Linked DNA regions of Arabidopsis thaliana. The protein of the gene in region 2 interacts with the protein of the main gene of each other region in a pairwise test. Each region holds a gene or a part of one and is shown on either strand. Other genes may lie near its edges.

Region 1 (3,680 bases), on a different chromosome or scaffold from region 2:
AAAGTAGCCGGAGACCCCGGCATTCAGCTGCAAAACGTTTGACATTTTGAGGACGATTGAAACGAAGAATAACTGGGTTTAAGATTCTGAGAATTAAAGAAGTTATAATACCTTTTCGATTCTGTCCGCTGTGCCTGAGAGATCTTGTGTTTGTTTTTTGAGCATGCTGATCCGGGCTTCCTTCTGGCGATTCTGTTCTTCAGCCTGGAAAGTGGATGAACACGAGAAGAAATTATTTTTAAGAAATGGCAACATAAGCAAATGACTAGTTTCTTGTGCCTTCTTTTTGAGCTTACTTACCCTTTGGAGCAAAACTGTTAACTTTTGTATCTCGTTCTTCTTAGATGTTGTAAGATCATATGCTATTGCCATTACATCAGTCCTGAGATGGAGTCATGGTGACAGTAATATCAGAATTCCAAAATGTGGGGACTTGACTTACAATTGAGGCCAATACCATAAATGGACAATAGTAAACAAAATGGATTAACCAATATGCATGAGACATACTTATCAGAAAACAAGGGATCCAAACTCTGTTCTTCGACCAGCTCCTCGACTGTATCAAGAATTGGTCCGACCTGCAAAGGGGAAAGCGTTTCAGTCAGAAGAATTTTGAAAAAATCTCTTACTTCACAAGTGTGTGGATGACAAAGCAAATAAGATGTACCTGAGTTTCGTGACATTGTTCATCAAACTCTTCCTGTAACAATGATGAAAACATAACTAAGAGTTTACAATTCATCACACTATGAATAGCCAAAAAATCACAAAAATTCATGTTTTAGAATAAAAACAACAACTTGAGAAAATTTCAGAGCAAAGGGTTACTACCTCTATTGTCTGATGCAAATTCACAACAACCTAGAAACATGTCAGAGAAAGAAAGATACATGAGAAAGGCTTCTCCTTGATTCATGTAACATAAAACCAATGGATCGAAAGAGAATGATAAAGAGAGATACATACCCGAGTATACAACTGAAAAAGCAGTTCTTGCTCAGCCCCACTGAATTTCGAGAAAATATCAACAAAATCCTACATAGTGATGGTTCACATAAAAAGGGTTACTATTAGTTAGTTAGTACACTACACATAAACCCGAAACAAAATCAACAAGACACTGCTATAGATAGATAGACAGTTCTCAAACCAGAAACAAAATCAAAAACCAAATTCAATTCTAATTAACTCAGGATCCAATCATCGAGAACACTTAAACCCTAAAACTTCAATTTTACCTAAATCAGACAGAACAAAACCCAAATTGCGATTTAAAAAAAAAAAAAAACAATGGAAAATGATTATGACATTGAAGCATATACCTGTTTGGAGCAAGCAGTGAGAAGATGTCGAAGAGTGGATTTGAATGATTTCTTCAGATGGGTTCGTCTTGAACCCGCAATATCCGTTTCATGACCCGGTTTCTCCATCTTAACCCGAATGATAACTTTTTTTTGTTGGTTTAAAGATTCCGGAAGAAGAAGTTGCTAACTGGTTAAAAACAAATGTACAAGTTGACAGAGAGATCAAGGACGGAAAATAGAAAATATCCCGGGAAGGCCCAGTTATATAGGCCCAGTTAAAACCCATAAGATTTTAGATTCAGACACAAGACAGGCATAGTAGTAGTAATTCACGGCCCATTACTTTTTCCTTTTTTCTTTTGCGCCAATTAACATTTTTTTTCTTTTTGCGCCAATTAACATTTTTTTTTCTTTTTGCGCCAATTAACATTTCTCTTTCCTATAAATTAAACCAGCTTAGAACGAAATTTTAAGGCAATATTTCAAATCGAACAATACTGCAAAACCAGAGAGAGGGAGAGCGAGAGAGATCAAAAAACCCTAATCGACTAAATCCTCTCTTCTTCTTCAAATTTTTGGTTAATTTCTTCGGCTGAAGAATAATAATCATGAAAACTGTGACTTCTCAGCATCCTTCTTCATTGTCACCACCATCTTTTCTTCCTCCACAAATTCCCGTCGAAGCGTACATAGGAAGTTTCGTCACTCTGATTGCTAACTTCGATATACGTTACGAAGGCATACTCTGTTTTCTCAATCTCCAAGAGTCGACTCTAGGTCTTCAAAACGGTACTTTATTTCGATTCCAAAACCTCTAAGAAACTTTGATTTGTTCTTTTCTTGTTGTGCAAGCTTTTCTAACTAGGTTTTTTTGTTTGTGGCAGTGGTATGTTATGGAACAGAAGGAAGGAACCAAAACGGAGTTCAAATTCCTCCGGATACTAAAATTCAGAATTACATTCTTTTCAACGGAAATAACATTAAGGTTAGTTAAATTGTTTTTATTTACGTATAATAATCACGAACCACCATTAGAGATTTGATTATTAATCTGTTGATATTTTTCTTTTACAGGAAATAATAGTTCAGCCTCCTACTTGGGGTTTAGCAAGAGGATCTACATGTAGTAAATCTTGTCTTGCCCCAAACCCACCGCTTCCTATAATTGTCTCACCAAACAATCGATCCGACGATAAGATACTCCAACAATTTCCATTGATCTCGAATGAAAATCTCATTCAACCGCAAGCTAAGACAGAGTCGAATGCTTTCTCAGTTAATGGATCAGTCAATGATAGATTTCCCATTGCTTCTCAACCACAGTTTCCTTCATACTTCTATGACCCTTATGTTTACCAGTCTATGCCTTATGCTGAACTTAGTCAAGCTCCTATATGGACGAATATTATGCATGACTCATCTGCCTTCAAGGTAACGTCTGCTGCAAGTCAAAGTTTTTTTGCCACGTTTCCGCCTGCGCCGATCTCTATTCAGCTGGTAATCTCATACATTCTCTATATGTTTCTGATCTTTGTTTTGTATTCCTTAAGCACCATCCCATAACTAATTACTTGTCTTTTGGTTGTAGAATTCTGTAAGATATGATTTTGAGGCAATGACTAAGAACGCTAAGCAGTACAACATATGGGGTCCTTCCCAAACCAAGGAAGAAGAGAGTTCAAAGGTGACCTTATATCTCTAGCTTAGTTTAATAGAGATCCGATGCTTTGAAGTCAGATGTTCAAGTTCCAACATATGTGTTTTGTTTTTTTGTTTTTTTGCAGCCTACTTATAACATTGATGGATCTTCTTACAAGATCTCGCGCACTCCGTTTGAGCCTATTGGGAGACCTTGAAATCCGCTTGGCCCTATCGCGAGACCTGTGAGAGATACCAAGGTTTGTTTCACAGCTTTTACCTCTAGTTATTCATTGAAAGATTACGTATATCCAATTTTATTGATAATTTTAATATCTTCATATTTCAGGTATTTGGAAATTACATACAAATGAGACTTCAATTACAACTACCACCAACATATTTCTGTAGTGGATACTATATGCCTTACTGACCTGTGAATCTCTGCTTTTGGGGTTTAAACATTTGTTTTGAGTCGATATCTTTTGTGGCACATATCATTAAGAATCATGTGTCTTTTGGTATCATGAACTTACCTTTTTTATTTAGGATTTTTGAAAGAATGTTGTTTCTTTCTTTTTTTCTTTTCTATTTGTTACAACCACTGATAAGTTAAATCTTCCAACATATGTAACAGTCTTTACTGTTTTTCTAGTTCCATGTTTAATTCTTCTCTATTCCCTTTGAGTTTTGACTTAAATGGGTCAAGTATAGTTGACTTGGTAAGTCTTGGGT
Region 2 (5,140 bases):
GGTAAAGGAAGTACTGGAGACAACAAAAAAGTATATCAAACAATGCTAAATGTTAGGAAACATTATGTAAAAGCTCTAATTAGGAATGTGTCCACTGATCATCACCTGACAATGGTCATCAGTTAGAGTTTGAGTGGATCTAATGATCTGGTGCAAATCTGTATCCATCAACTCATAAACAATATATACATCTTCGAACCTTTCTTTCTCTGGTAGCTCAATTATATCTTTAATTTTGATAACCTGTGTAGCAATATGAACGTAATAAGCCAACTATATGAGTGTTCATCAAAGTGAAGAAGAAGAGATTACATTGTCATGATCCATGTGGGAAAGGAGCTTGATCTCTCGGAGAGTTCTTTTAGCATCAACTCTGTTGTCAAACGCGTTTGCTATCTTCTTTATAGCAACCTCTTCATTTGTCTCTGAGTTTGTAGCACAGCTGTAATCATAAAAAAGGATTTGAGATTAAGATTGTATTCAAGAATGGTATGTTTTTTTATTGAAAGTGATAAAGACTTACCAGACAATACCATAAGCACCTCGGCCGATGGGTTCAATAGGAGGGATGTATTTTGAAGATAGCTCGAAAATGTTACCGAGTACATTGTACATAACATATCTACCATCATATGTCAAGATCCCTCCATCTTCCCTTTTCTCCATCTCTTCTTTGGAAGAAGAACTCGGATCAAGACAGGTTTTAAGATTAAAAAAGGAAGCAAGTTTTAAAAGACTGTTTCTCAAGTAGCTGTTGTTGCCGTTAAAAAGGCAAAGCAGTGAGTAAGAGGAGAGAAAATGGTGGCACCTTTTGCTTTTGGTGGGCCAAATGAAGACAAACTTTTTTATTTGATCCGTTGAACTTCGAAATTTGAATGAGAATTATTATTACAAGGTTAAAACTTGACTTCTGCATCATTAAAGAAAAATTCAAAAGAAACAAAAGAGAAGTATACTATAGAAAAAGCTATCTCATTGTGGATCAATAGGTCCCTAGGAACCAATAGTAAGTAAAAAGCAAAGTGGTAAACATACAAAAGCGAGATTATTCTCAAGTCTCATTTCAATGTCAAAACTCTCTCTTGTGTGCTAAGTAAACAGAACCTGTGTGAAAGTAAAACACCTCTGAACTCATTTTCACTATCTCACAAACCTGCATTATCGATCCAATTCTCCCATCTTATATCTTCTTACATATTAAGGATCAGAGAAGGTGATCAAACCTGATAATTATGTAGATGTAGCTGAAGCTAAGATATAAGGCTCAGGAACCACAAAAACATATCACTGAATATTTCAAATTAGCTTCAGCATTTTATGAGTCAAAATACTAAGAAACAATGCAAATTCTCTCATGAAAAGGCTCTCACATTGCTTTTGCATTCTCCGCAATTATGATCCAAACCTTAACCAAAAACAACTACCCTATAAGAGTATAAGACCATGTCTGCAGAAATCAGTAGTAACACAAGAATTTCATGAGATATTAAAGAAGAAGAAAAGTAGGCCACACAATAGAATTGAGGAATCAAGAAAACAGATACATACACTTGGGAAGGACCAGCACAGCAGACGTCTGTTACTACTAACTAACTCAGACTTGTCATTGAACTATATTATATACGGCTCACTTGTTTTGCTGCAGTAACTGGCTTATCTTCTTTTCTGGCTTGCGTTAATAACATGAGTAGAGAGAAAACACGACTTCCGTCGAGTAGATTCCTATCAAACAACACCGGTTCTCGAATCTTTCGACAAGCCAAGCAAAAGTAGGTGGGCATGAAAATTTGTTCCCCATGAAACAGAGGACATTCGTTGTTACCTATTCTAATAACCGATTCAAAATTCCGAATCGCAGACTTAATAAATGTGGACAATTAACCAAACCGTGCATTGCTAGGTCTAAACCGCATTGGTTTATGACCCACCAATCAAGGAGCGATGGGTGAGAAACCTAATAACACTGCTGCTGTGACTTTATCATATCCTTAGTCCAATTGGGATCTTCGTCTGCGTGAGACGCGTTCACACCTGCGACAGATGAAATCACGGAAATACCACTGCCCAACGTGTTCGCAATAAAAGTCCTCTGATGCCTAATTTCGTCAATTTACTGAAGAAAATTCAACATCAACGCCCTTTTTGATAATTTCCCCAAAGTTAGTGGGCCCTCCACACGAAGCATGTATCCTCCAATTGCATATTGCCAATTATTTCCTAATAATATTGAAGGATTATTCTTTTCCCATCTATATACCACCAACCCTAAGATCCGAACGTCCATTTTAAAGCCGTGCGTTTAATCATGATCGTCAATTATATTGGCAAATTTGACCACACGATATCCGTCATCTAACGGCATCTACAGATCTACCAGAACGTTCTCATTCATGACTCTATATATTTCGCATTTCTTCTCCTCAACGCTCTCATAAAAAGTAGTACTCGTGTCTTACTCGTGCCAGCCACTCGCATTTCTCCAGATTTTATTATCCTTCCTCGAAACAAGGTATGACGGAAACTCTCTCTCTCCCTCTCTGATCCGTCGTTGCTGCTTCCATTTTCATCTTGACTCGATCGGATCATTGTTATGCTTGGCTTGATCTGTGCTTAATGATGTGTTTTTCGTAGTAGATCCACGATTCGTTGCTGCGATCGGCGTTATTATCGTCAGCTCTCTCGTTTCTGTTCTGTGGTTCGATATTGCTGAGTTTCTAGGCTAATCTTACGAATCTGTGAAAGTTTTTGAGAGATTTGGCTTCTGTAGCTCACTCCTGCTTGATTTAGGTTTTTTTTTTTTCCACTCGTATGAAGCTGTTTTAGAGGCTGTTGTTGTTTATGATTCTCAGCTTGTTATGTATAGTTGGATTTCGTGAGTTTTGGATTTGATCTGTGCGTTTATTTAGTAGTGAGGCTCATGTATATATATCTGTGTATTTGTTCCAGAGCTTAGCTAAGATGACGAAGAACTACCCAACCGTGAGCGAAGATTACAAGAAGGCTGTTGAGAAGTGCAGGAGGAAGCTCAGAGGTTTGATCGCTGAGAAGAACTGTGCACCCATCATGGTCCGACTCGCGTAAGTAACTAACCATATTTGCTTGTGGTTTTGAAGTATGTAGGATTATGAACTTTCTCATGGCTGATCTGTCTGGCTAAACTGCAGATGGCACTCTGCTGGAACTTTCGATTGTCAATCAAGGACTGGAGGTCCATTCGGAACAATGAGGTTTGACGCTGAGCAAGCTCATGGAGCCAACAGTGGTATCCACATTGCTCTTAGGTTGTTGGACCCCATCAGGGAGCAATTCCCTACCATCTCTTTTGCTGATTTCCATCAGGTACATGGTTTTAAATTTTAAAAAGCACTATTTGGTTAACGGTGATAACTGTAAGGTTTGGATTCTAACTCTAGATATCCTTGTGGTGTGAAATTGATCATTCAGCTTGCTGGTGTTGTGGCCGTTGAAGTTACTGGTGGCCCTGACATTCCTTTCCACCCTGGAAGAGAGGTTAGTCATTGCTGTAGATTTGTTTGCCGTCTCTAAGGTTATCATATACTCAATTTGGTCGAGAGAACGTGTTCTGCTTTCTTTGTAGAGATGGCTGATTGATAATTGTGGGACTTGATTTTCTGTTTCTAAAATGCATATCTTGATTTCAGGACAAGCCCCAACCACCTCCAGAGGGTCGTCTTCCTGATGCTACCAAGGGTTGTGACCATTTGAGAGATGTCTTTGCTAAGCAGATGGGCTTATCTGACAAAGACATTGTCGCTTTATCTGGTGCCCACACTCTGGTTCGTTTCTCTCCAACTGCTTAAAACTTTAAAATTTGTTTGCTCCAAGCTTACAAATTCTGATGAGTGCTAGCAAAATATGATATCGCAGGGACGATGCCACAAGGATAGGTCTGGCTTCGAAGGTGCATGGACATCAAACCCTCTAATCTTCGACAACTCTTACTTCAAGTGAGTATCCCAAGTTCCCTTGTAGGAGGATTCAGTGGCTTATATGGTTACTAATCAAATTATATATGGGCAGGGAACTCTTGAGCGGAGAGAAGGAAGGCCTTCTTCAGCTTGTCTCTGACAAAGCACTATTGGACGACCCTGTTTTCCGTCCTTTGGTCGAGAAATACGCTGCTGTATGTCTTTCATTCCCTTTTTTCTGTTTTTCACTTGGTAGAGAGAGAGAGAAGAGAACTCATGGTTTCTTGTGACAATGTGAACAGGATGAAGATGCCTTTTTCGCTGATTACGCTGAGGCCCACATGAAGCTTTCTGAGCTTGGGTACTTATCCTGAATCTATGAATCATTTAGAAAGTAAATATTAATTCAGTGGTGTGATTTGAGTTTGTATCTGTTGGTTGCAGGTTTGCTGATGCTTAAGCTGTGACGTATGCTCTGTGTGTGTGTGTGTGTCTCCCCGAGAGTCATGGCTGTTTTTGGTTGGGGGCTGGAGGGGTCGCATTGCATTTGAACTTTGTCATATGATTGCTTAATGTACTCTCGGATTTACGTATCTGTTTTTTTCGGTGGGTTGCGATTTGAACACATCCGTTGCGCTTTTGCTGCTTAGACACATTAATAAAATTAATTTCTCTCGATATTTATGCCTCAAATCCATTCATATCTGCTTAGTCTCTAATAACAGTAGAACTTGGATTAAGAGTTTGAAGATACAGTGGCTAATTGCCTATATAAAGTGATAAACAGCCAAATCTTTAATCAGAAGTAGAAGTATTAGTATAACATGATTTGACTATGTACTACGAGATCAATGGTAAACCTGACATTGTTCCAAAACCAATCTAGACCAGTTCACTTACCGAATTTTAGTTCCATACCCATAAACCAATCCAAAGTGATTCTATCACCACATGCAACAGCATGTAATGATGTGGTGCCCGAATAGGCGGATTCCATCGATGTTGATCAGACGATGCTTTAGATCAAAGACCGGCGTGAGCTGAGACGGATGGCTCTGGCTTATAATGTCACCACTATGATTACCAAAGTGTTTGCTGCTTTGATCACGGCCGAGGGAGTAAAGAGCTTGAAGTCAAGTGTTATTCAAATGATTGTCATTCAGCACTCCTTTTCTAGGTGAAGGATCTTGCCTATGCGCTTCTCTAAAACC

The links.
Region 1: the proteins of APX1 (region 2) and AT4G19360 interact in a two-hybrid assay, tested with the Arabidopsis thaliana proteins (one large-scale study listed by BioGRID).

The regions. Positions count from the first base shown.
Region 1 is NC_003075.7:10,562,244-10,565,923, forward strand, and holds AT4G19360 (SCD6 protein-like protein), read left to right. Parts: upstream 1-1,915; coding exon 1,916-2,096; intron 2,097-2,191; coding exon 2,192-2,292; intron 2,293-2,381; coding exon 2,382-2,738; exon of another isoform or gene 2,739-2,804; intron 2,805-2,895; coding exon 2,896-2,991; intron 2,992-3,091; coding exon 3,092-3,163; downstream 3,164-3,680. Other genes in the region: EMB3006 (embryo defective 3006), read right to left, coding at 1-27, 112-204, 301-382, 511-581, 671-703, 835-864, 970-1,038, 1,326-1,433.
Region 2 is NC_003070.9:2,435,047-2,440,186, forward strand, and holds APX1 (ascorbate peroxidase 1), read left to right. Parts: upstream 1-2,234; 5' UTR 2,235-2,509; exon of another isoform or gene 2,510-2,946; 5' UTR 2,947-2,958; coding exon 2,959-3,077; intron 3,078-3,164; coding exon 3,165-3,339; intron 3,340-3,444; coding exon 3,445-3,510; intron 3,511-3,662; coding exon 3,663-3,797; intron 3,798-3,888; coding exon 3,889-3,968; intron 3,969-4,041; coding exon 4,042-4,144; intron 4,145-4,231; coding exon 4,232-4,290; coding exon of another isoform or gene 4,291-4,303; exon of another isoform or gene 4,304-4,373; coding exon 4,374-4,389; 3' UTR 4,390-4,619; downstream 4,620-5,140. Other genes in the region: ATMPK13 (Protein kinase superfamily protein), read right to left, coding at 1-13, 106-243, 313-442, 524-666; AT1G07885 (uncharacterized protein), read right to left, coding at 1,617-1,781.